Callithrix jacchus: one gene and its partners. The protein of the gene in region 6 interacts with the protein of the main gene of each other region in a pairwise test. Links are inferred from orthologs where the notes say so. Each region holds a gene or a part of one and is shown on either strand. Other genes may lie near its edges.

Region 1 (4,182 bases), on a different chromosome or scaffold from region 6:
AATTAAAAACAGCAACAACAACAACAAAAAACCAATTGAGGACCCATTACCTACAATGAACTGTGGAAACCACCCAAGTGGACTTACTTGCTTAAGCTATTGAAGCTCTTCAACAAGAAGGTATTCCTACTCTACATCTGTAAATGTCAATTACTGTTAACGAATCAATATTGGAATCCAAAACTTTCTGAAATGATCCAAGGTTGGGAATCAAACGACGGTCTCTAAAAGTCCACAACTCACAATTTTTCAATAGGAAAAATGAGATCTTAAATTCTCATTTACTTATGTTTATAGTTGGCATTTTACACTACAAGCACCATAGATAATCCCTCCAACAACTCTGCAAGACCAATTTTACAGAAAAGCAGGTGATTCATCAAAGCATATGATGTTTTTCAAGAAGCCTTAAGTCAATTTAATTTCAACTCCAGGGGTGTAAAAAGGGTCCGAAACAAATGTCTATTTACCTTGATGACAATCTGGGAGGGAGGGGGGTTTGTCGTTTCCACATCAAAATGACAGTAACCCTGGTGCAAAGTGGTCTTCCTTCTTGGGGATTCCTGCCTCACCACTCCAAGTCTCAGCATATCCTTCACTCTCACCTTTCTGAAGTGACCTATTTTCTAGAACTTCCGTTAACATCTGAATAGAGGGATTCCACTTCGGGAGATTCGAGGCAGGGGAGGGGCAATACATTCGGGAAAGACTAAATTCTAGAGAAAGAAACGAAGTCCTTCCCCCTGACACCAGCAGGCATACATATGACCAGCACCGCCAGGTGGAGGTATGCGGAGAGATGAGAGGGCGACCGAGGCCAGACGCCCCACGCAGCCTTCCTCCTATCCAGGGCGAGCCTCCGATTCCCTTGCAGGGAGACCAAGGATGGGGGAAGGGCCATAACCCGGAGTTGATGGACAGGAAGGGAAAGACTGACTGCCATCACTTCCGCGCAACTCACCTCAGCTCCCGTGCCCACACAGCCGCGCCGGGCCTGTCCCCAGCCTGTGGGGATAGGGTGGGGCGCAGGGCCAGCAGGCGGCTCACAAGGAGCCGAAGCGCCGCCGCCGCCGCCCAGACCCGGAGGCTCCGGAGGCTCTGGAGCCTTCGGGTCTGGACCCCGCGGCCGCGCGACGTGATGACGCAATGCAGCGTGAGGACCGCCCTCCTCCCGCCGCAGAGTCCGCGTCACGTGATGAGGCGGTGTCACGTGACCTGCCTTATCGGGGGCGGGACTTCTGTAAACTGCTATGAAGCCGAATTAGAAAAAGGTCAGGTGGCCGGGGCGCGGTGGCTCACCCCTGTAATCCCGGCACTTTTGGGAGGCTGAGGCGAGCGGATTACCTGAGCTCAGGAGTTCCAGACCCGCCTGGGCAACACAGCAAAACCCCGTCTCCACCAAAAAATTTAAAAAAAAATTTAGTCCGGCGTGGTGGCCTGCGCCTGTAGTCCCAGCTACTCCGGAGGCTGAGGCAGGAGAATCCCTTGAACCCAGGCAGCAGAGGTTGCCGTGGGCCAGGATCGCCACTGTTATTCACGTCTAATAATACCGAAAATTAAATGCATTTAATATAGAGATTTTCCAAACAGGCTTTGTGTGGGCAACAAGGACATTTTATTTCTCGCTTGGGTGCAAGCGGACCGAATCTGAGAAAGGCGAAGAGAGTAAGGGTGGGAATTGGTTCTATAAGTTGGGGTAATTTTGGGGGGCGAGGGTGTTGCAGAGTAAGATCAGTTACAGTGGTCGGGGGTAGTGGCAAGGAGTATACATGACCACAAGTTCAGTTACAATGGCGGGTTGAGTAAGGCGGAAGAGCAGTTAAGATGGCAGGATGGGGCAAGGAGCATTCACATTATCATAAGAGCAGTTAAGATGGCAGGATGGGGTGAGAGGTATCCACATTTAACATAAGAACAGTTAAGATGGCAGGGTGGGGTGAGGGGCTTGTCCGGGGAAGCTCTGCTGGGCGATTAGGGACAATGGCCAACGCAGGCGGTGGGGTGGGAGACAATTAGCAGAGGCAGGCAGCAGGCAGGACTTCAGACGTTCTGGTTCCAGGCTTGCATATGGAGACCTGACAGCCACTGCACTCCAGCCTGGGCCACAGAATGAGACCCTGTCGGGGGCGGGGGGGGAGGCGGGGGGGGCGGGGGGAGGGCTGGCATAGTGGTCAGTCCTGTAATCCCAGAGGCCAAGGCAGGTGGATCACTGGAGGTCAGGAGTTCGAGACCAGCCTGGCCAACATGGTTAAACCCAGTTGCTACTAAAAATACAAAAACATTAGCCGGGCGTTCTGGTGTGCGAATGTAATCCCAACCACTCAGGAGGCTGAGGCAGCAGAACCACTGCACTCCAACCTGCGCGACAGAGTGAGACTCTCAAGAGAGAAAGAGAAAGAAAGAAAGGAAGGAGGGAGCGAGAGAGAGAAAGATAGAAGAAAGGAAAGATGGAAGGAAGGACGGACGGTTGGGTGGTGTGGGGTCCGCAGGAAGCCTGGGAATATAGCTCTACAGCTTGGCGATTGAATGAGCCTGAGACCCTCCCCACCGCTCAGGAGGCAGAGCAGACGGAGAGAATTCTAAGGCTTAATATGCTAAACATCTGAATGCAGGAAGTGCGTTTTACCTTCCAGGTACTGAGGAACTTTTTGCTATCGAGAAAACCCACGGAGGCCTCAAATTTCTTCCCTTCCATTGTCCACAATGACCTCTTGGGGCCGAACAACGCTGCGCAAGAATCCTCTGAGCCCTGCGATCCACAGACCTCGTATATACTTTGCGTCATAATGGGGCTTATCATCACCACTAAGGTGATTTTACTTCTTTCACTCCAAGACAATTAAGTGAAAGGAACTTGTGGCCACTACAAGGTGGACATTAAGAGGGAAATTGGAAAGAATCTTCTTAGGGAAATCTTAGACAGCCTTATCACCACTGTTACTCCCCTGCTGACATTTCACCAGGCTATGGTTGCTGAAGGTTAATTTAAGAAAGTTCGCTTCTAACTGATTTTGGTGCAGTTAGTGTCTGAAAAGGCAAAGAGGTTAATTGGTTCAACTTATCTGAATGTCTAGACAACAAATTGGTAATACTATTTTCTTCTGTGAGCCCCCTTTTTCTTTCTTTTTTTGAGATGGAGTCTCACTCTGTTGCCCAGGCTGGAATGCTGTGACATGATCTCAGCTCACTGCAACCTCTGCCTCCCGGGATCAAGCGATTCTCCGGCCTCAGCCCCGCCCCGCCAGGAACTGGGACTACAGGCACGCACTATCACGCCCAGCTAATTTTTGTATTTTTAGTAGAGACTGCGTTTTGCAATGTTGGCCAGGCTGCTCTTGAACTGCTGACCTCGTGATCCACCCTCCTCAGCCTCCCAAAGTGCTCGGATTACAGGGATGAGCCACAGCGCCCAGCCCTTTCATTCTTAAGGATACTAAAACCATAGCCAAGTGGGCAGCATTCTAAATTTACATTGCATCTCCATCTTCCATGTCGTGTTTTCCTTGTCTAAAACTGTCCCTGACTTCCACATTGTAGAGAAGAATGCAAGATTGTTATAAAATTTATTGGGGGCATTTTGGAAATATTTGTCAATTTTAATAAAATTATTCACATGCACATGTAAGACTACATATGTAAAAGATATGTACTACATATGTACAAACTGCAGCATTGTTTGTAGATTAGATTGACAACAACGTTAAATGTCCATTAGTAGGGGACCAATTCAATGAAATATAGTACATCCATAAAATCCAATACCATGAAGCTGTGAACAATCTGTATTCTCTATTATTGGGTAAAAAGGTGGAAGATCACGCCTGTAATCACGGCACTTTGGGAGGCTGAGGCGGGCGGATCACCTGAGGTCAGGAGTTTGAGACCAGCCTGACCGACATGGAGAAACCCCGTCTCTACTAAAAGTACAAAAGTAGCAGGGCATGGTGGCACACGCCTATAATCCCAGCTACTTGGGAGACTGAGGCAGGAGAATCGCTTGAACCCAGGAGGCAAAGGTTGTGGTGAGCCAAGATCATGCCATTGCACTCCATCCTGGGCAACAAGAGGGAAACTCATCCCCCCCACAAAAAATAAAACGTAGAAGATATATTCATATTTGCTTGTGTGTGTAAACTGTATTTGGAAAGACAAAATAAAGTGGTAACATTGGTTTCTTTGGGG
Region 2 (4,021 bases), on a different chromosome or scaffold from region 6:
TATGTTATTTAGCCATTTATCCCAATTGATATAACCATCTCTGTTTCTGTGAACATTTTGGTTAGTTTTTCAACTGAATTTTTAATTCCAGATTTGCTCTTATTCCCTGAATCTGAATGGATATTTAATGGGAATTTCGGTAAGCATTTAATTCTACATCACCTGCTGTAACTTCACAACAACAGAGAGTTGACTTCAAAGCAACAACTTTATATTCCACTGCTTTGAACTTACTTAGGTATCAGCTCCCTGCAGTTCCCACCTGCTTGGACTTTGAGAACATTGGTATCATGCTAGTTAGTCATGCTCAAACCTTGCTGGAAATGCTGGTTTAAATTTATGTAACTACTAACCATTGTAATATGGTGTGGTTCTGTGTCCCCACCCAAATCTCATTTCAAATTATAATCCTTATAATCCCCATGTGTGGAGGAAGGAACCTAGTGAGAGGCTATTGGATCATGGAGGTAGTTTCCCCCATGCTGTTCTCATGCTAGTGAGTGTGTTCTCACAAGATCTGATAGTTTTATAAGGGGCTCTTCCCCATTCACTCTCTCTTGCTCATCTGCTGCCATGTAAGACCTGCTTTACTTCCCTTTCACATCGATGATTATAAGTCTCCTGAGGCCTCCCAAACCTCAGCAAAATCTGTGAGTCAATTAAACCTCTTTTCTTTTTGAGTTACCCAGTCTCTGGTAGTATCTTTATAGCAGTGTGAAAATGGACTAATATACCTTATCTTCTGAAGGAGGTCTTGAGAGATTCCTGAGCCTGAAAATGAATGGAGAAATGACTTAAAGCCACCAGCTAATTGGGCTTAATCATTTGGACTCGGTTGACTCTTCCCCTATCCTTACCCATGTCTAAAACCAAAAAAAAAAAAAAAGGATCCCATATTTATACAGCACAAAGAAATCTACTCTTCTGTTCTTTCTAGGACTACTAAAGGCCATGGGAACTGGACACCTGGATGCTATGGAGGAAGGGCAAACAAAGCCTGACATCAACCTGGACAGTTTGCCAACCTCTTTATGGTAAGCTGATGTCACTTGTGACTACTCCTAGTGTATGCCAGAAATAAGCTATTCCTGATGCCAGAATCTCTTACCATAAGTGCCCTCTGTAGGCCTTCTGACCCTTACTCCTTGCTCCACCCATAGTTAATATCACGGGGTTCTCTCTCAGATCCTGATATAAAGCTCCTACACTGCCTGGCCTGACAAGCCACCTCAAGTAGACAAGACACTTACCAATAGGTAAGCGGTCATTAGAGAAGGGCATGTGTAATATGGGTTTTTCTGTTTCCATTTTGAGGTAGATACAGGGTGATTTTCTGTATCCCAGTAGTAATGAAGCTTAAGCAAATTACCCAAAGCTGATCTTGGGTAATTTGGCCTGTATAATCCCCAAACCAAAAGAGAAATAACTGTGACTGTAGCTATCTCAGAGGACCTTCCTACTCTCAGGAATTCAGAGAGGAGAGGGTGTTAGAAAGATAATAGGTGCTCTGCTTTCTTCTTCAAACTCTCTTCCCTGTGTTCTCCTATAGAGATTGCTGATTTGGTCCTTAAGCAAGAGACTCACTGCTGCTCAGCATGGCTCAGACCAACACATGCTTCATGCTGATCTCCTGCCTGATGATCCTGTCTCTGAGCCAAGGTGAGATTTTCCCTCACACCTCTCATACCAGCCCTGAAGTCTGCCTTCCATCCTCATGCATATGGGTTCACTTGAAAAATAGCAGTGTCAGCATCAGGGGTTGTTTCTGTTGTCCAGTGATCGTTATCGCTGATCTCATCCCATTCAAAAACACCCTCATTTCATTCATGTGTCTGAGACAGAATTTGATAGGATCACTTACAGGTGACCCTTGTGGTTGAGTTCATCTGATTGAATATATATGTGATGGCAGTTTGGGGGATGTTTTTATGTAGATATTGATAGGATGGAGAGCTAAGGTAAATATTGCATGCAGGGAAACCAAGAGAAACTTGAGAGAGGTGAAAGCCTGAGTCTTTAAAGGCAGAAGCCTGAGCCTCAGAAATAAAAAAGAAAACAAGGAAATATTTATTTAACCTATTTATTGTGTGCTCTTCTCTTGAGCAAAGGAAACTAGAGCGAAAAGAGATAAGATGCAGGAGGGCAGAAGTGAGCAGTCACCCCAGGATACACTGTATCAGTATATTCTTATAAATGAACTTCAGAAGCTCTTAATTCACCTTTCAGCCTTTCCTTGAGCTGAGAGTCTTTAATTGACACTTTTTCCCCCCGCAGGCCAGGAGGCCCAGACAGAGCTGCCTAAAGCCCGAATCAGCTGCCCAGAAGGCACCAATGCCTATGGGTCCTACTGCTACTACTTTAATGAAGACCTTGAGACCTGGGTCGATGCAGATGTAAGTGAGGAGAGCAGTGTGGGAAGGGAGGCTCATGAAGGTAGAGGCAGCTGCTAGTTTACAGTGCGTTCAGTGGCTGCAATGAGATAAGACTGATCCCTTCCCTATTCCACCACTGGTCCAAAACTTCCCCAATCTACTTTAGCCCATCATTTGACACATTTCCAGCACAGAGATGCTGGTGGTCAGTGACAGCATCATCAGGGACGTTTCTGTGATGTCCTTTTCTGTTACAACCTCTGGGAGGTCTCAGTACATCCTTCATACCTTCCTCCTCCACTGAGTGCTACATTTTCTTCTCCAGCTCTACTGCCAGAACATGCATTCAGGCAACCTGGTGTCTGTGCTCACCCAGGCGGAAGGTGCCTTCGTGGCCTCACTGATTAAGGAGAGTAGCACTGATGACAACAGTGTCTGGATTGGCCTTCATGACCCCAAAAAGGTCAGTCTGCAGTCTCCTCTGTCTCCTTATAAACATTTTTGAGAGGTAAGAGGGATATTTAAGGTCTGGCACCACGAGCGCCAACTTGTATCTATTTTGTTTGTTTGTTTTAATAAAAGGAACGTCTTTATAGCTCCTATAATGTATGAGTTGTGAGGTTCAGTGTAGATAGTTAGAGACATGAGTCGAAAGTTGAACTTTCTGGGCTCATGGGAATTCATGCACAAACTCACTCTGTCTACTTCTAGAAATGCATCTTTATGTACAACTTTTTCCCTACTTTGCTATTGTCTTTCTTGGAAGAGACCCCTCTGAAAACTACCACAGAGAAAGAGTAGTGGAAGAGAATCTATTGCTGACATTTGGAACTATACTGTTAAAGTAAATAATATATCAACAGCTACTGTACAGCCAATTTTATGCTGGATATGACAGTTCTGAGCTTCGGGGAAAAATCAGGAACTACTCTCTGGGACTTTTATGAGTCTGTGTATCAAACTCTGGACACTTATTGTTTGCTGGAAGAGGAGGAGGAATTTGGACATTCCAGAGAAAGAGAAACTTAAAGCAAAAGCAAATGGAATAATATGGTATTCATAGTGATAATAATGTTCATTCTTTCCCCTGTACTTTGGCCTGTTTCTGAGTGTGCAGAGAGGCCTGGTTGTTCTATTGATTTTCCAGTGACCATGGTCCCTTTTCTGGCCCTTCTCAATCTAGAACCGCCGCTGGCACTGGAGCAGTGGGTCCCTGGTCTCTTACAAATCCTGGGAAACTGGAGCCCCAAGCAGCGCTAATGCTGGCTACTGTGCAAGCCTGACTTCACGTTCAGGTAAGAGGCAGAGAGTCTATCCCCTTGTTGCCATTTCCCTCCCACTTATCTCTGCAGTTGAACATGGGGACTGGGATAGAGGAAAAATTTATTTCCATCCAGAAAATAAGGGAATGTTTCCTCTTGTTTCTTGTTCTGAGTCCTAGGTCGAAGAGGGGCTACCCTCCTTCTGATCTTCTCATTCTGACTCTTCTAATTGTACTGTAGGATTCAAGAAATGGAAGGATGAATCTTGTGAGAAGAAGTTCTCCTTTGTTTGCAAATTCAAAAACTAGAGACATCTAAAAAATGGACGTCTAGAACTGGTGGTCCTGCAATTACTATGGTGTCAAAAATAAACAAGACTCTTTCTCC
Region 3 (3,961 bases), on a different chromosome or scaffold from region 6:
GAATGTTGAGTGAATAAAAAAATAAATGCACGATTGGGCCAGAGCTGACCTCAGAAATCATCCTGCGCTGGGTGATGCTACTGTTTCTACTGCTTAATTTTCTTTCTAAAAAAAAAAAAAATTTTTTTTTTTTTTTGAGAGGGAGTCTTGCTTGCTCTGTTGCCCAGGCTGGAGTGCAGTGGCTGGATCTCAGCTCACTGCCACCTCCGCCTCCTGGGTTCAAGCGATTCTCCTGCCTCGGGCTCCTGAGTAGCTGGGATTACGGGTGAGCGCTGACACGCCCGGGTAATTTTTGTATTTTTAGTAAAGACAGGGTTTCATCATATCGGCCAGCCTGGTCTCGAACTCATGACCTAGTGATCCGCCCACCTCGGCCTCCGACAGGCGTGAGCCACCGCGCCCGGCCTCTACTGCTTAATTTTGGAAGCGGGGTTAGGTTTCCTGCCTCCTCCTCCCTCCAAAGGCGCCTGGGCATAAAACATCTTGGAAAGCAAGGCCGCACCCCACAGACCTCAGCCTCTGTCTGACCCCCGGGTCCCGGTGAGGCACAGCCGGTAGCCGAGTCCCCGGTCTGCAGGCGTTTCGCAGCGCTGATGGAACGCCTGCCGGGTGTCAGGCGCTACTGCGGGTGCGAACACCCCTTGGCCGCGCGGCTGGCCTTACAGTGCACGGGGTGGGAATCAGTGCCGCGGGGCAGGAGGGCGGCAGAGAAGACCCCGTGAGCTGACATTTGAGCAAAGGCCTGGAAGAAAGCCACGTGGGCGTCGGGGGAGGGGCACCGGGCGGGGTAGGGGGACTAGGCCGGTGCAGACGCCCGGAGCGGAGAGAGCGCCTGGAGAGCCCCGGGAGCAGTGGGGACAGGGGTCTGCAGTACCGTGAGGGGAGAGGACGATAAGGTAGGGAAGCTCCGAAGGAAAGGAGGGCCTTGGCAGGATTGAATGGCGAGGAGGGCTTCGCTCCTCGTCTCTTCCGCCGGGGCTTGGCCCCGCCCCTCCAGAACCCCGCCCCTCCAGAACCCCGCCCCCGCTCGGAGCCCCGCCCATCGGCCGGGCCTAGTTTGTCTCTCAGCGGCCACCGTCGCCCCGCCCGCCGCCCGCCGAGTGCGCAGCATTACGCCGCGCCCGCGTCCCGCCCCACGTGCCGTGCGTGCCGTGCGTGAGCGTGCGTGGGCGCGTCGGCCGGCGAGGGAGCCGCAAACGGCCGGCGGCGGGCGCCGCGCAGGGGGCGGGCGGCACGGAGTAGGCGGCGGCGGCCATGGCCGAGGCGTCGCCGCAGCCCGGACGGTACTTCTGCCACTGCTGCTCCGTGGAGATCGTCCCGCGCCTGCCGGTGAGGCCCGGGCCGGGGCGGCGGGCGGTAGGGTCTGTGCCGCAGGCCTGAGGCAAGGCCCGGGCCGGGGTGGAGGTCGCCGGTGCCCGCTCCTCGCGCGAGGTGGCCACGACGGGGAAACTGAGGGTGGGGACAGCGCCGGCCCAGGGTGGATCCGCGGGGAGCCCGGGCGGTGCGGGCGCGAACCCCGTCCTGCACATGCGGGAAACTGAGGCCCGGAAGGGGGGAGGCGGGGCCTGGCCGGGGCGGCGCAGCTGGGTCGGGTGATCCCACATCCTCTGCCTTCTCGATCCGAGAGGCCGCGGGGACCCCAGGTGGGAACGCTCCTCCGAACCCCGTGAGCCTGGTTCTGTAAAACGGAGAAAGTGAGGCCCGGCGAGCAGAGGGTATTGCCCAGGGGCGCGGTGCGGGCCACGGGCCGGGCCTGGCGGGGCGCAGACCCCGAGAATAACGCCAGGGGACCCCCGCCGAGCGCGCAGTCCGGGGCGCCCTAGGCTCGCCTCGTGGGGCCCTGGCCGCCGCCTGGGAGTCAGGCCCAGGCCCGGAAGGCTCCAGGCACCGTCCCGGGCTCCGACCGCGGCCCTCCGGCAGGGCTTTGTGACCCGAGCCTGCGTTCTTCCCTTCCCGGGGCTGGGTTGAGCAGCCCACCCTTTCTCGAAGTGTTTACAGCCACCCTTGGCTCAAGGGGACCCCGGGCCTGGGTGTTCCGAGTGTTACTTCCTGCTTATTTAGGGCGATGTTTCCCACGCGGACCTGATGTCACCTTGGGGGCAGGTGGGAGCGGTGCTCGTGGAACGTGCTATTTCCAGGCCCCTTCTCCGGGGTTTCGGAGTCAGCAGGTCTGGAACGGGCTCGGCAGTTGGCGTTCCTATTACTATTTTTAGGGACAGGGTCTCACTGTGTGGCCCAGGCTGGTCTTGAACTCCTGGGCTCAAGTGATCCCCCTGCCTCCCAACGCGCTGGGATTACAGGTGTGAGCCACCGTGCCCGGCGGTGGTCTGCATTTGTGACCAGTGTTTCCCTTTCTCAGGCTAATGTGGAAAGTGGTGATTTCTTTGAGCCACGCCTGCAGATGGGGAAACTGAGGTCCGTGGTGGCTCAGCAGAAAAGGCAGAGCCTGCTCAGTCGGGAGCTGCCAACTTGAGGGGAGCAGGTGCAAGAGGTGGAGCCGTGTCTGGACTCCCTACCCTGTGCCCACGGGAAGAGGCTGCAGGCGTTGAGGATTTTCTGTGCTCTCTCTGTGCATTACCACCCGGCTGTTGCTACGGTTTGACCCATTAGAGGCGCCCAAGCCCTCCAGAAGCAGTAGCGTTCCTTGGGAGCAGAGACCCCGGAAGGGGCTGGAGGGAGTCAGGAGAAGCAGCTTTCTTGGTCACGGAGGAGGAACCAGTGCTAGAGTTGGGGCATGACGGGAGAGCAGTGACACAGGCCAGGAGTGGAGAGAGTAGAGAGGTGTGGCTTCCTCTCTGCTGAAGCCACAGGGCTTCCCCTCCCCAGCAGGAGGAACAAATCAAGTAAAATCCTGGGTGTGGGGCGAAGATTAGGGAGCTGAGGCTGAGCCTTGTCTTGCTGCTGTGCCTCTCAGGGTTCTCACTCCTGCCCCTTCCTGTTTCCTGTGCCCCCTGGCCGTGGCAGAAGGGGTTGGTTGGCTGACAGACTGCCTGCCAGGGTGAGTTGTAGGGCAGCCCCTGACAGCTGTGTGAGCCCTGGGACAGGTCCTGGGAAGCCTGGAGTTGTGGCTGTTGGAGGTGGCTAGCCCTGACCTGTTGATACTTGGCTGCTCTGGGAGCCTGCACAGGGCTGGATCCTGGTGTGGTGGAGCCACTTCCTGGCCCTGTGGCCTCGGACAAGGAGGACCCTGACCTCTTCCGATTGTCACTGGGCCTGGGGAGGACCTTCTTTTAGTCATGGAAACTCAGTGGTGTCTGGTAGTCCTGGTCTTGGCTCTCACGGAATTTATAGGCTGGCCGGGGAGCCAGCATTGAACCGCGGCTGACAAATATTTGGTCATGAACGTTGGTAAACAAGTGCAGGGAGCGGGTGTGTGGGTGAGGGGAGTGCCTGTCTTCACCCTGCAGTGATCCCGAGGGCACCTGCTCGTGCCTTTGGAGCAGGACGTAACATGGTGCCAGTAGACAGTGTGGCGGTGTCAGGACTTCATTGTACAGGGCAAGACTCTGTCCCTACAAGACATAAAAACAAGTGGTGGGTGTCTTGTTGCACGCCTGGAGCCCCAGCCACTGTCGGGGCTGAGGTGGGAGGAGCGCTTGAGTCTGGGAGGTGGAGGCCGCATGGAGCTGTGACGGTGCCACCGCACTCCAGCCTGAGTGACGAGCAAGACGCTGTCTCAAAAAGAAACAAAAACGGATTTTCTGTGCTGGGAGTTGGGCGCACCTGTTCTGGGGCAGGAAGGCTGCTCCAAATCTGGTGATGGGGAAAGTCCCCAGCCACCACCAGCACCCTCGAAATGGGCGTCTCTGCCGGTGGTGAGCTTGCCCCGAGGCTGAGTCTGAGGTGGCGCCACTGCTGCTGAAACACCTAGGCTGGTGTCAGGAAGCCCCTACGGGCCTCTGACCCGGAGGCCTGCCGGGGCTGAATGCCTGTGTGTGGTGGCTTCTCCCAGGCAGCTGGG
Region 4 (4,078 bases), on a different chromosome or scaffold from region 6:
TTCCATATAAAAAGTTTTGAAAATAAAAACTAAAATGCTCACATTGTGAGGCTAAGGCCTAAAGAAATGAGAAATGCATGAGAATTTCCAAATTCAGGGTTATTTAAGAAAGAACAACATATATCAGAGAATAAAGTTACTTGAGTTACAAAAATTTATTTTCTTTATGCAATTTACTAAAAAAATCATAATTGAAAAGTATAATACTTTACAAGTAAAGGGAAGAAAATAACGCCACCAAAGATGCCACATCATCTAATTCATTTAGAGATCAGTGTCTGCCAGGCACCCACAAGCTCATGGAAAGCTGTGGTTTCTGTACAAATGCTATTTGTCTAATAATTTCATGCTGTTAATGATGGCCCCGTTAGCATCTTCACTACTCTTACTTTCATAGAAAGGAGAAACATATGATTTGTAGAGCCCTTTAGTGACAAGAGTGAGGATCCTATACACTATATTGCTGGTTTCCTAGTCTTCATTAAGAAAGTGTAGGAGAGAAGCAGAAAAAAAAAAAAAATGTCCTGTTCCAGCCCCTGCTCCTGGATGTGGCAAGGAAGAAGACTTAGCCAGCTTGGAACGAAATAAATCATACCCACGATGCCATGTTTAAATTCCCCTTTCTCCAAAATGTAAAATCAATCTGCTTCCATCTTCTAGAATACTGTGAGACTAAACATCCTTTTGAAATGCGAAGGAAATTCACGTTGATTTGGGAGAGGGATGTTCTGGTCATAGAAAGATGCTGTGTCTCAGAAACACATATTCTTAACTAGCAATAGAGGGGAAAATAATGCCTCCCCTATCTCCCCTCCACTGAAGTCCTTTCCTAGCCTGATTTTTAAGAAATGTCTTAATGCCTACAGTTATCTGGCCACCCTCAAAAGTGCAACTTATCCTGACGTCTAAAGGGACGGAAAAGTTACGGAAGTCCAAGGAATGAGTCACTTTGCTCAAACTTGATGAGTAATCTCAGGTGTCTTGAAACCAGTTCGGAAGGAAAGGGGAGGGGGTATCAGATCTGCAGACGGAAGCAGGCCGCTCTGGATTGGATGGCGAGACCTCGATTTTCCTAAAATTGCGTCATTTAGAACCCAATTGGGTCCAGATGTTATGGGCATCGACGAGTTACTGTCTCGGAAACTCTCAATCACGCAAGCAAAAGGAGAGGAGGCGGCTAATTAAATATTGAGCAGAAAGTCGCGTGGGGAGAGTGTCACGTGGGTCTGGAGGCTCGAGGAGCCTGGGATAAATACCGCAAGGCACTGAGCAGGCAAAAGAGCGCGCTTGGACCTCCTCCTTTCCGGCTGCAGCCACCTAGAGTGCGGAGCGACCAGCGTGCGCTCGGAGGAACCCTGAGTCCCGCGGGACTGTCCGTTGTAGTAAGTGCCCGCGCTGTGCCGGCCACGGTTGCCGGGCTCACCCCGCCGCACATCTGTCCGAGGTGGCCGCTCTGGGTGCGCGCTGCTGCGAGGGGCAGTGGGGAGACTGGCTTCCCAAACGCCAACGCCCCTCTTTGTCTTCCACCTGCAGAGCCTCCCGGTTTGAAGGTGTGGGTTGGTGGGTTTGGGGGCTGGGGGAGTTGGGTTTCAGGGAGAAGAAGGTTGGAGAATCTTTGGGGCACGATTATCTTGCCTAACGGGTACAGGCGAGACTTTAGTCCTTATGCTTTTGATCTTGGCTCATCCGTTGTGGGGCAGAAAATTCTGCTGCCCTAAGTCTCGGATAACCACCCCTAATATATACATTTTTTCTCTCTTTGGTCTCTTCACCCTACCCCTTCCCAGATATCCAACATGAGAATCCTCGTGGCCTTGGCAGTCTTTTTTCTCGTCTCCACTCAGCTGTTTGCAGAAGAAATAGGAGCCAATGATGATCTGAATTACTGGTCCGACTGGTCCGACAGCGACCAGATCAAGGTGAGGCCCCTTCCTAGGACGGCCCACAGCCTTCTCCTTGAGCTCCGGAGCTGTCACCTTCCCACGCAACAGTACCCTAGTTAGCCTGGCAGGCCCCGCAACCGCGATGAGAGGCAACGGATGCGTGCGGGAGGATGGAAAGGGGCGCTATTTGCCGGGTTCCTCGTGGGGTTTTGCGCCCACGATTCAAGTTTCTTCCCGAGGGCTGCACCATCCGGCCCAGAAACTCCCTGAAGCAGGGATGCCTTCCCGGATGAGCCCGAGATCCTCACTAGGCAGGAAATCTCATGAGGTTTCAACCCCTAGGAAAGGGGATTTCGGGGGCTTAGGTCCAACTGCGCTGCCCTGGGCAAGGGAAGAGGAGGGCGCCTTGGTCGCGGGCAGCAGCGGGCACACGCGCGAGCTGCAGGGGCATTGGAGGGCCGGAGGCGGGAGGGAAGTTAATTTCCTGCCTTCGCATTTGTTTTGCGAACCTGAGGACGTAGCTTCAAGTTTCCGTTTAGAAACTTGTAGCTACTGGCGCTGGGGAGCGCGCCTCGGGAAAACTGTGAAAGACGTCTGTAAAGCGTCATCACCCTTCCCCACCGCAGCCCCAACCACAGATCACACACACCTGTGTGCATTTAGGGCGCTTAGGACTCTCCAAAGCCGGCACCGACACAAGACGGAGTCGGTGGCTGCGCGGCAAATGAGCGCAGGACCCCAGGCTGGGAGGAAAGAGCGGAAAGCGCTCGAGGCTTGAAGACGCAGCGCCAGCTGCTAATTCGGCCTGGCAGGCTTGGGGGAGCAGGACGCGAGTTCGGAGAGGAGGGGCACAGAGAGGGAGCGCCTCGGGAGGGACCCCGCTCAGCCCGAGCGTGGGGAAGGCTGCCTCCCCCCGCCTCGGGGCCGGAGTACCGCGGGAAGGGCTCGGTTTGCTGGGCGCCTCGCTCCGGTTGCCTTACACGCCCTTTGTCCGTGCTTCTGTCCCCCAGGAGGAACTGCCGGAGCCCTTTGAGCATATTCTGCAGAGAATCGCCCGGAGACCCAAGCCTCAGCAGTTCTTTGGATTAATGGGCAAACGGGATGCTGGTGAGATGGGCGACCGTCCCTAGATCTCTTAGGCAGCCCGCCCTGTCTGCTCACTCCTTCCCGGGGTACCCTAGGGTCTCTCTCTCTGAGTAGAGACTTCCACCCCAAGAGTGGTGTAATTCCCCAGGCGCGACACTGGCCCGCACCGCGCCAAGGCACGCACGGGCCCGCGGAGGGAGGGAAGGATCTGGTTCGCAAGCCTCACTCTATTCGAGGGAGGGAAGGATCTGGTTCGCAAGCCTCACTCTATTCGAGTGAAGCGCTCCCTTGACTAAAGATCCAAACTGACAAAGGGAAGGCACGGACCTCCGGGAGACAGTACTGCGAATGATCCAATGCATGTGGAACAGGATTTTATAGCATTCTCTGAGGTGAGGGTAGATTTGTCTTGGGATAGAAATATTGTTTCCTTGAATTCATCGCACCATCAGTGGAACATGTAGTTAATGACAATTCGTCTCTTGTCAGATTCCTCAATTGAAAAACAAGTGGCCCTGTTAAAGGCTCTTTATGGTAAACATTCCTATAAATCTTTATTTTACTATTGTGAAAGCACATGTAGGAAAGTGAAATAAAATATTGTGTGGGCTGAAATACAGGATCTGGATCATGCCTGTTTAATAAAGAGATGGATTTGCATACCCTCTCTCTCTGTCTCTCTCCCTCTCTCTCTCTTCCCCGCTCCTCTCTCCCTCCCCCTCCCTCTCCCTCTCCCTTTCCCTCTTTCTCCTTTTCACTCTCTCTCTCCCTTTCCCTGTCTCTCCCTTTCCCTCTCCCCTCTTCTCCCTCCCTCCTCTCTCTCTCTCTCTTTCTCTCTCTCCCTCTGAATGGGTGCTCAGCCTTGAAGGTGGGAGCTGTTACAGTCTTACAGTTAATAAGAGGCCTCAAAAGTCTCATAGTCCTATGTTGAATCCCATAGAGGGCACTTAATAAAATTCCATTCGTTTGTTTAAATATTTAGTTTTTATGATTAATAATTTGTTTAGCATTTACGATTCTGCTTTATTCCTCAGGATAACAGAAAATGTTACATATTTTGAGAATCAAATTATTTTATAAAAGATATAATGTAGCATCTTTAAAAACAA
Region 5 (2,300 bases), on a different chromosome or scaffold from region 6:
TCTCACCAGTCTGATGAATCTCACCATTCTGATGAATCCGATGAACTGGTCACTGATTTTCCCACGGACCTGCCAGCAACTGAAGTTTTCACTCCACCTGTCCCCACAATAGACACATATGATGGCCGAGGTGATAGTGTGGGTTATGGACTGAGATCAAAATCCAAGAAATTTCGCAGATCTGACATCCAGGTAAATCCTTTAAAAGACATATCTGATGGTTCTGACTAGAGCTCAAGTCTAGGAAACCATAGTTTGCATATTCATTCATTCATTTGTCCATTCATTCATCCATTCAGCAAGAATTCATTCATATTCTACTTCATGATCAATGAATACAAATCTTTTTCTATTTGGTGGTTTTTGTAAGTCTACATAATTCCTCTCTAGATTGGATTCCCAAACACAATTCTATTTTTTCAAATCCTGAATCACTTACTTTTAGATTTAAAAAAATGGAAAACACTAATTATTTTAAAAATATAATGGTCATGTTTTCAAGTTAAATAACTAAGAGGAATTGTAGAGTTGCAAATTACACTGAATCCTTAGTCAGAGAATCTGGATTTGACATAGACTTGCCATTTACTATTCTCTTTACTTTTTAACTTCCAATTCACTTCCTCTTTATGTGAAACAGATATAATCAAACCTATCTCATAGGTTTCATTACATAAGTAAGTGATGTACTTATTAAACTAAAGGAGATAACATATGTGAAAGGGCTTGGTAAAGTACTATACAAAGTAACATGCTAATATTATTTCAGGAAGATTTAGACAATTTTTAGTACAAGATGGCCTAAATGTTAGAGAGCAGAAAAGGATTACCATATTCCCATCCCTAGCTGTTCATATAATTCTTCTTCATTTGTGCTGTGATTCAGTACCCTGATGCTACCGAGGAGGACATCACCTCACACGTGGAAAGCGAGGAGTTGAATGGTGCATACAAGGCCATCCCTGTTGCCCAGAGCCTGAACGTGCCTTCTGATTGGGACAGCCATGGGAAGGACAGTCATGAAATGAGTCAGCTGGATGACCAAAGTGCGGAAACCCACAGCCACGAGCAGTCCAGATTACATAAGCGGAAAGCCAGTGATGAGAGCAATGAGCATTCAGATGTGATTGATAGTCAGGAAGTTTCCAAAGTCAGCCGTGAGTTCCACAGCCATGAATTTCACAGCCAGGAAGATCTGCTCGTTGTAGATCCTAAAAGTACGGAAGAAGATAAACACCTGAAATTTCGCATTTCCCATGAATTAGATAGTGCATCTTCTGAGGTCAATTAAAACAAGAAAAAATACAATTTCTCACTTTTCTTTTAGTAGAAAGAAAAGATGCTTTATAGCAAAATGAAAGGGAATATGAAATGCTTATTTCTCAGTTTAGTGGGTGAATGTGTATCTATGTGAATCTGGAAATAACTAATGTGTTTGATCATTAGTTTAGTTTGTCATAGAAACTCCCTGTAAACTAAAAGCTTCAGGGTTATATCTATGTTCATTCTATAGAAGAAATATAAACTGTCACTGTATTTTAATGTTTGTTATTCTTTTATGAATAGAAATTTATGTAGAAGCAAACAAAATACTTTTACACACTTAAAAAATAACATTTTATGTCATTATGATCTTTCATTTTTTAAATTAGTGTATATTTTGTTGTGATTATCTTTCTTTTGTGGTGTGAATAAATCTTTCATCTCAAATGTAATAAGAATTTGGCGGTGTCAATTGCTTACTTGTTTTCCCACACTTGTCTAGCAATTAATAAAATATAACATTTTTTACTGCCTATGTAACATTTTTAAAGCTTTATTTTGGTTTTAATTGATACATAATAATTGTAGATATTTATGGGGTACTGTGTTGATGTTTTGATACATACATACACTGTATAATTATCAAAGGGTAATTATCATATCCATCACCTCAAACACTTGTCATTTCTTTGTAATGAGAATATTCAATCCTATGTTCTAGCTATTTTGAAGTATATGATACATTATTATTGACTCTAATCAACATACTGTGCAATAGAATACCAGAATTTATTCCTCCTAGCTAACTGTAACTTTGTACCCATTGACTAACCTCCCCCATCGACCTTCCTACTCTCTCTCCTGCTGGTAATCACTATTCTACTCTCTACTTCTATGAGGTCAACTTTTCCAGATTCCATATATGAGTGAGGTCATGTAGTACTTGTCCTTCGGTGCTTGGCTTATTTAACTTAACCTCCTCTAGGTTCACCTATGTTGTCAAAAATGCCAGGAGAAAACATGCACAAACTATGCAT
Region 6 (2,503 bases):
AAGGTTTCCATTCTCTGCAGTTGTCATTTTTCTTTTCTAAACTGACATTCTGTATTCTGGATCTGATGTATTCCAAAAGGTGGTTGAGGGTTTTGTGTTCTAAATCTGCTTTCTGCCCTTCAGCGTCGTATGTCTCGTGGGGTGAATCCCTCCTTGGTGAGCTGGCTGACCACTATGATGGGACTGAGGCTTCAGGTGGTACTGGAGCACATGCCCGTAGGCCCTGATGCCATTCTCAGATATGTTCGCAGAGTCGGTGATCCCCCCCAGGTAAGGGACCTGATGGGCTATGGGGTTAGGGGACTTGAGAGAACTGGAGAGATCTGAGAGGAAGTATGTTGTTCTCCTTTAATTTCTCAGCCACTTCCTGAGGAGCCAATGGAAGTTCAGGGAGCAGAAAGAGCTTCCCCTGAGCCTCAGGTACTAGGCAGAGGGAGTGATTGAGGGGCCAGATAATGTGGAGTGGAGGCCTGGGGGAGAAAGGTTTGGAGGCTAAGAATTCTGAAGCCTGGCTCTTCCCGCCACCTGCCTTCCAGCGGGAGAATGCTTCCCCAGCCCCTGGAACAACAGCAGAAGAGGTCATGTCCCGAGGTCCACCTCCTGCTCCTGAGGGGGGCTCCCGAGATGAACAGGATGGAGCTTCAGCTGAGACAGAACCTTGGGCAGCTGCAGTCCCCCCAGTAAGTGTCAGGAAGTGATCCAGTGGGTCATGGCAGCTGAAAGTCATGGGCACTACTACTTTCTAATCTTTTCCTCCCCAGGAATGGGTCCCTATTATCCAGCAGGATATTCAGAGCCAGCGGAAGGTGAAACCGCAGCCCCCTCTGAGTGATGCCTACCTCAGTGGTATGCCTGCCAAGAGACGCAAGGTTTGTTTTCCTCCTCCCCAAGCCTCTCTTTGTCCAGGTTTTCCTGTCATGCCTGGAATCAGACTATTTAGAGCTGGTAGGAGCTGCTTCTTACTCAGTCTCCCCTCATTTAATGAGGCAACTTTTCTGGGATTCGGACTTGCTCTTGGTTGTTGGATAACCATATAGGACTTTACCTTAGTGTTTGCTAGCCATCCTGTTAGTTCCTCAGCTGCCTAATCCTCATGTGCCTAGATCCCATTTTCCTTTAAGGTGGGTTTCCTCTTGTGGATTACCTAAACTCTGAATCCCATATGGCTTGACCCCTTCTGCCTCTCGTTTTGAAGAGCACATTCACTTCGGTTTTGGCTAGAGCCAGAGAATTAGGAAGGCATTTCAGCTGTAAAGACCACATCCTGGACTATGTTTCCCCTCTCTCCACTAGCATGGAGACTCAGTGGTTGACTCATGGAAAGGGTGAGCCGATGGTGGCACTGGATCTGACGTTGATCCTCTTTTCCCTCCCAACCCCTATCCCCCAGACAATGCAGGGTGAGGGCCCCCAGCTGCTTCTCTCAGAGGCTGTGAGCCGGGCAGCTAAGGCAGCCGGAGCTCGGCCCCTGACGAGCCCCGAGAGCCTGAGCCGGGACCTGGAGGCACCAGAGGTTCAGGAGAGCTACAGGCAGCAGGTGCCCCCACCTTGAAGCAGAATAGGGATGGTCTAGTGGGAGGGGTTGGGCTAGGGTCCCTCTCCCCTGGATCCCTTCAGTTTTGAAATGGTCAGCCTGGGGCTACCACTTGTTTTCCCCTTTGGCATCTATCTGGGAAGGCTTGGCGATGCCACCCCGGGCTATTTGACAGTGTGCTTGGTGGGGGAAATGTTAGCTTCTGAGGGATGGCCTTGTATGCTTGCTGGGATCATAGGGACTTGGCTAGTGCTTCTCCAACCTGCTTGCTTTTTTTCTCTAGCTCCGGTCTGATATACAAAAACGACTGCAGGAAGACCCCAACTACAGTCCCCAGCGCTTCCCCAATGCCCACCGGGCCTTTGCTGATGATCCTTAGCTCTTTGCTCTGTTGCCCTTTCTCACCAGGAGACCGTTTCCCCCCTCTTCCTTCACAGTATTTAAGAAATAAAAGTCGGGTTTTTCTGGCTGCTTTCTCTCTTAAGTCGCCTGCTGATTAAGAGTGTAAGTCCCTTAATCTTGAGTGAACTTGTTTTTCAAATTAATACTCCCTTGGAGTACCAGAAAGCCTGTAGTATCTCCGCATGAGCATAACAGACACTACGTTCTGTGCACCTAGCATTTGATACTAAGATTTTTGTGCAAAAGCACTTTAAACAAAAGACCTGTACTTTTAGTTGGGAGCATATGCTAGGTGCACACTAGGGTAGAGCTCTCAAATTATCCAGCAAAGTTTCTGAGCAGCTGCAGACCTAAATATAATCTTAGCATAACTAGCATGCAGTGTTACCATGTGAAATCTCAGTTTAACAATGCTGGAACTGGTCTATACAATTCAAAGAGCCTCTTATTAATGTGCTCCAACACGGAGGCCTTAACAGAGACTTCCCCTTAGTTCATCATAAAGGACCAAAGTCCCATGACTGCAAATTCTTTGCTAGTCCCTTTGAGATACTACAGCTGATGTCC
Region 7 (4,271 bases), about 5.8 Mb from region 6:
AAGCATTTACTCAATGTAGCTGAAAAGATCAGGAGGATGACATTAATAAATAAAAATCCATATATAATAAAAAATGATGTGCAAAGAATTATTTCATTGTGAAGCCCAATACTACAAAACTTTATAATTCATTACAAACCTTTATTAAAAAAAAAAAAAAAAAAAAGGCTTGGGGCATGCCTGGGCAGAGATTTCCAGACTGAGCAGCCTGAGATGTCAGTAATTGCAGCTGCTCCAAGCCTGGCTCCTATTTTTTAGTGGGATTTATTTTCAGATTAACAATCCATCCTCTGCAATTTTTCAAAGCAAAACTGCACATGTTTCAGGCACATAAAGGAGGCAAAGATGAAGTCCAAGGGAGGTCAGAGGTATGGGGTAGACGGGAGCAGATAGACACGTTACTCATTTCTGTGTCTGGCAGAAGCACCAGTAGACACTTCCAGAATTATCCTTTATTTATGTCATTTCCATAAACTGTCTGCAAATGAGGGTTATTGGGTATTTTTGTCATTCTGGAGCCACAGAAATAAAGGGTGACAAGCACAGAGCCTTGGGCAGGAGGCAAAAGTCCTGTGTTCCCACCATAGTCATTTCTTTGCTGCATAATCTGAGTCAGGTCACTAAACTCTTCTGAGCCTCAGTTTCCCCAGCAGTGTATATGGGCCCTGTGGGGAGTATTTAGGAGACAGACAACTCACTCATCAAATCCTCTGCTTCCTAGCCAACAAAGCTGCAATCACAGAGTTCTTCTGTTGAGGTGAGTGTACGGTGTACGGAGATTGGTTCAATGTCCAATTCCTCCTCGGTTTTCTGATAGTGTCTCCAATTCCCTCCTTCCCGGAAGCATGTGACAATCAACATCTTTGTATACTTAAGTTCAGTGGACCTTCAGTTGCCTCATCTGTGAAATAAAGGGGACTGAAAAATCATTCTGGCCTCAAGATGTTTTGTTGGGGTGTCTAGGTGCCTCAGGTGTGTCTGGGAGAGGTGACCTAATGAGGGATCAATGGGAATAGAGGTGGTATCGTGGGGCTTTTCTGGAAATTGCAGAGAGGCGCATCGTTTTTATTATTTATGGATTTTTATTTACGACTGTCATCCTCCTGATCTTTTCAGCTGCATTGGGTAAATCCTTGCCTGCCATAGTGGGTCAGCGGTGGGCCAGAAAGGGGGCTCATTCGAACAGCGCCCTCCTGGGGAGTGCCAAGTCATTCTCCAACTAAAAAAGGCCAAATTTGAGGCTCACTTTGTGGGAAAAATGTGTCCAGTGTACCGACGCACGTTAGAGACAACGGGAGGAGGGAAGCGCCCTCCTGCAGCACGCGAGGTTCCGGGACCGTCTGGGGCTGCTGGAACTCTGCCAGGCTCAGCTGGCTCGGCGCTGGGCAGCCAGGGCCCCGGGCCTGGGGGAGGGCCGTCCAGGGGCGGCGCGGTAGGACGAGCGCGGGTCCCGCCCCTCCTGGGGGTAGGTTATATTTGCGCCCGCAGAGCGGCACCAGTTGAGGTGTGAGCAGCTGCGGGAGTCAGTTCCTTGTGGGGTCAGAGCTGAGCGCGGATTCGCCGAGGCACCGAGGCACTCAGAGGAGGTGAGGGAGCGGCGGCAGCCAACAGGGGACCCCAGGCCGCCGGCCCAGAGCCGAGCCGAGCGAGCCTGCCTGTGTCCGTGGGTGTCGCGGGGATGCGTGTCCGCGGGTGTGCGCTGCGTTCACAGGTGTTTCTGAGGCAGGTGAATGACGGGCGTGGGTCTGTGCCTGCTCGGCTTCCGCATACGGTGTCTGTAAAGTGCTCGGGTGACGGGGATCGGGATGTGCCGGAGACTCCGGGCGGAGAGCGGGATTACAAGTACAGGGATCCCGGGCCACGCTCCCCGCCCCTAGAAACCCAGCTGGGGCGAGGGAGGGCGTAGACGGGGCCGCTCTGGGAGCTCGCCTTCCGCAGCGGTGGGCTCCAAGCCCCAGGTGCAGTTTGCTCCTGGCGTGGGAATGAAGTCCGTGTCCCTGGAGGGGTCCAGGAGGGGCGAGGAAAGCGGAGTGGAGTAAGTTCGTCTGGGATCGGTCCCGGGCGGTTTTCGGAACCAAGCGGCGCCGCCCTGGCTCACGTCCCGGGGTTCAGGTCCTCTACGCCACTGTGTCCACCACCTGGCTGGGCGCTGAGGTAAGTGCGAGCAGTTTCCTGGCCCTTGGGAATGTGCCAGGACACGTCCCCTAAGGACAAGCGAGGAGCTGACTCATTGTGACAAGGAGACCCCAGGGAACGGACTGTATAAGGTCAGAACTTCGCCCGGGCTGGGGTACAGTGGGAACCCAGAAGCCCCCTCCCTGTCCCTTCAGGTCTCGCCCTCCCATCAGCACAGTGACCAATTTGGCTGGCACAGCGTGTTCCCAGGGAAGCCGGGCACTGGAGGTCCAGGTCGCCGCGTCTGATCCCCGCTCCGCGGCGCGCCCTAGGGGCCGGGGAGTCAACGCCCTGCGCTGGGCGGGCTCTAACCAGCCTGTCAGTCGAGGAAGGGCAGGGGTCTTCTCTACCTCTTTACCACCGCGGCCGGGAGAACCACGGCCCAGCTTGTCCTCGAGTCGGGGCGCTGGACTCCCGGGCAAGAGCGGAGCCTACGCCTGAGTGGGAGGTGGGGAGAGATCCTGTCTTTGCGGCGTTGGTGGCGTTTCTGGGGGGCACGACACTGCTCAGGGCCTCCATCAGCTGCCGCGGGGGCTCGGGGTGCCCCGACCTAGCCCAGATTCCCTCTCCGAAAGCGACAAGACTGAGCGGAGCAGCGGGGTGAGCGCCGCCGCCGGGCGCGGACCACGGCACGTCCTCTCAGTCCGGAATCCCCGGGGGACACTTGCGCCCTCTTAGTGCAGAAAAACATCTAGGGGATGGGTTTGGAACTTGGGGCGCCTAGACAGCTTCCCGTCTCCTTCCCTCGCTCCACGTCGTGTTTTTGGGAGAACTTCCGAGAGATTTTGTTTTCGTTGCTCCCGTCTATTTTTATTTTCCAGGGATCTGACTCATCCCGTGCTTTGGGCGTGGAGATAAGGTGGAGGGGCCAGCTCTCGGCGCGCGCGCGCGTGTGTGTGTGTGTGTGTGCGCGCCCGCGCGCCCGTGTGTCTGTGTCAGAGACGGCGCAGGAGCGCGCGGTTTCGCAACAGCGGCGGGAGTTTTGGAAGCCTGGCCTGCCCAGCGTGACGTGTTCGCGGCCCTCCGGTCCCCTCCCATTCTCCCTCTCCCCACCCCAGTGTGACGCGCAGCCGGAGTGGAAGCGGAGTTTTGGCGGGGGCGGGCAGCGCCTTGCGGGAAACTGACTCATCGCTACTCCCCCGCTGTCCAATGCTCTGCCCACGTACCTCCCACCCCGCGCGTGATTTCCTGGAGGCCGGCGCCCCCTCCCGGCCCTGGTGAGAATGGCACACCCGCTTTCCCGCGGAGTGGGGCTGGCAGGCGGGAACCACCGCGGGTACTCCGGGCTCATCTGAGATCAACCCCTATGCCATTCACCGCTCCTTCAAAGGAACACTCCTTAGGTTCAACAGTATTTATTGAGCTCTTACTGGAAATTAAAGTATGACTGAAGTCTAAGGCAGGAAGGCCAACAAAGGAGGCTATTCTCAGTTATTTGTAGAACAAGGGTTTGCGTTTCTGAGTTTTCTTTGGGCTGAAAGTTATGACAATGCGCCTGAGAGCAGATTTAGATGGGGGAGGAGAGGCCTATGAGAGCCCTAAGGGAAGGGGTGGTAGAAGAGGAAAGGGTGCCTGCCTAGATCCTAGTCTTATCCTGAGCTCCTGAGAGCCAGGGAATATCCTTGATGGAGCCCTTCCTTGTGCCTCTGATGTATTGAGACCCAGAATGTCCATTTCAAACACACCAGTGTCCCCCTTGTCTGATACCCCAAGAGTGCCCATCTGAGGAACTGTGCTGAACACTTGCTTAAATCTTCAAACACCTACTTAAATCTTCAATCTGGATTAAGTTGGTCTCAAGAGGCAGGGCCTTGAAAAAGCTCCCTAAGTGATTTTTTTTTTTTTTTGAGACAGGGTCTCACTCTGTTACCCAGGCTGGAGTGCAATGGCACCATCCTAGACTCAAGCAATCTTCCTGTTTCAGCCTTTCAAGAAGCTGGGACCATAGTCGTGAGCCCCCATGCCCAGCTAATTTTTTTTTTTTTTTTTTGAGACAGAATCTCACTCTGTCACCCAGGCTGGAGTGCAGTGGCGTGATCTCAGCTCATTGCAACCTCCACCTCTTGGGTTCAAGCAATTCTCCTGCCTCAGCCTCC

The links.
Region 1: the proteins of BAG6 (region 6) and KLHL12 interact in binary tests that used the Homo sapiens proteins (3 or more experiments, as listed by UniProt). The two-hybrid records come from large-scale screens. The link is inferred for Callithrix jacchus from reciprocal best matches to the Homo sapiens genes BAG6 and KLHL12.
Region 2: the proteins of BAG6 (region 6) and REG1B interact in a two-hybrid assay, tested with the Homo sapiens proteins (2 studies listed by BioGRID and IntAct). The link is inferred for Callithrix jacchus from reciprocal best matches to the Homo sapiens genes BAG6 and REG1B.
Region 3: the proteins of BAG6 (region 6) and RNF126 interact in binary tests that used the Homo sapiens proteins (3 or more experiments, as listed by UniProt). The link is inferred for Callithrix jacchus from reciprocal best matches to the Homo sapiens genes BAG6 and RNF126.
Region 4: the proteins of BAG6 (region 6) and TAC1 interact in a two-hybrid assay, tested with the Homo sapiens proteins (2 studies listed by BioGRID and IntAct). The link is inferred for Callithrix jacchus from reciprocal best matches to the Homo sapiens genes BAG6 and TAC1.
Region 5: the proteins of BAG6 (region 6) and SPP1 interact in binary tests that used the Homo sapiens proteins (3 or more experiments, as listed by UniProt). The link is inferred for Callithrix jacchus from reciprocal best matches to the Homo sapiens genes BAG6 and SPP1.
Region 7: the proteins of BAG6 (region 6) and CDKN1A interact in a two-hybrid assay, tested with the Homo sapiens proteins (2 studies listed by BioGRID and IntAct). The link is inferred for Callithrix jacchus from reciprocal best matches to the Homo sapiens genes BAG6 and CDKN1A.

The regions. Positions count from the first base shown.
Region 1 is NC_133520.1:29,968,763-29,972,944, forward strand, and holds the start of KLHL12 (kelch-like protein 12), read right to left. Parts: upstream 2,801-4,182; coding exon 2,627-2,800; intron 1,151-2,626; exon of another isoform or gene 591-1,150; coding exon of another isoform or gene 471-590; intron 1-470. Other genes in the region: transcription and mRNA export factor ENY2-like, read left to right, coding at 2,787-2,810. UniProt on the Homo sapiens protein: Substrate-specific adapter of a BCR (BTB-CUL3-RBX1) E3 ubiquitin ligase complex that acts as a negative regulator of Wnt signaling pathway and ER-Golgi transport.
Region 2 is NC_133515.1:34,054,084-34,058,104, forward strand, and holds the start of REG1B (lithostathine-1-beta), read left to right. Parts: upstream 1-1,221; 5' UTR 1,222-1,256; intron 1,257-1,549; 5' UTR 1,550-1,595; coding exon 1,596-1,659; intron 1,660-2,274; coding exon 2,275-2,393; intron 2,394-2,697; coding exon 2,698-2,835; intron 2,836-3,555; coding exon 3,556-3,667; intron 3,668-3,874; coding exon 3,875-3,942; 3' UTR 3,943-4,021. UniProt on the Homo sapiens protein: Might act as an inhibitor of spontaneous calcium carbonate precipitation. May be associated with neuronal sprouting in brain, and with brain and pancreas regeneration.
Region 3 is NC_133523.1:625,004-628,964, reverse strand, and holds the start of RNF126 (E3 ubiquitin-protein ligase RNF126), read left to right. Parts: upstream 1-1,161; 5' UTR 1,162-1,254; coding exon 1,255-1,329; intron 1,330-3,961. UniProt on the Homo sapiens protein: E3 ubiquitin-protein ligase that mediates ubiquitination oF target proteins. Depending on the associated E2 ligase, mediates 'Lys-27'-, 'Lys-29'-, 'Lys-48'- and/or 'Lys-63'-linked polyubiquitination of substrates.
Region 4 is NC_133512.1:51,899,510-51,903,587, reverse strand, and holds the start of TAC1 (protachykinin-1), read left to right. Parts: upstream 1-1,278; 5' UTR 1,279-1,550; intron 1,551-1,787; 5' UTR 1,788-1,796; coding exon 1,797-1,919; intron 1,920-2,893; coding exon 2,894-2,990; intron 2,991-3,458; coding exon 3,459-3,503; intron 3,504-4,078. UniProt on the Homo sapiens protein: Tachykinins are active peptides which excite neurons, evoke behavioral responses, are potent vasodilators and secretagogues, and contract (directly or indirectly) many smooth muscles.
Region 5 is NC_133504.1:109,664,866-109,667,165, reverse strand, and holds the end of SPP1 (osteopontin), read left to right. Parts: coding exon 1-192; intron 193-886; coding exon 887-1,291; 3' UTR 1,292-1,800; downstream 1,801-2,300. UniProt on the Homo sapiens protein: Major non-collagenous bone protein that binds tightly to hydroxyapatite. Appears to form an integral part of the mineralized matrix. Probably important to cell-matrix interaction.
Region 6 is NC_133505.1:39,139,988-39,142,490, reverse strand, and holds the end of BAG6 (large proline-rich protein BAG6), read left to right. Parts: intron 1-123; coding exon 124-270; intron 271-360; coding exon 361-420; intron 421-536; coding exon 537-680; intron 681-761; coding exon 762-869; intron 870-1,390; coding exon 1,391-1,537; intron 1,538-1,817; coding exon 1,818-1,913; 3' UTR 1,914-2,003; downstream 2,004-2,503. UniProt on the Homo sapiens protein: ATP-independent molecular chaperone preventing the aggregation of misfolded and hydrophobic patches-containing proteins.
Region 7 is NC_133505.1:44,980,705-44,984,975, forward strand, and holds the start of CDKN1A (cyclin-dependent kinase inhibitor 1), read left to right. Parts: upstream 1-1,471; 5' UTR 1,472-1,586; intron 1,587-1,726; exon of another isoform or gene 1,727-3,392; intron 3,393-4,271. UniProt on the Homo sapiens protein: Plays an important role in controlling cell cycle progression and DNA damage-induced G2 arrest. Involved in p53/TP53 mediated inhibition of cellular proliferation in response to DNA damage.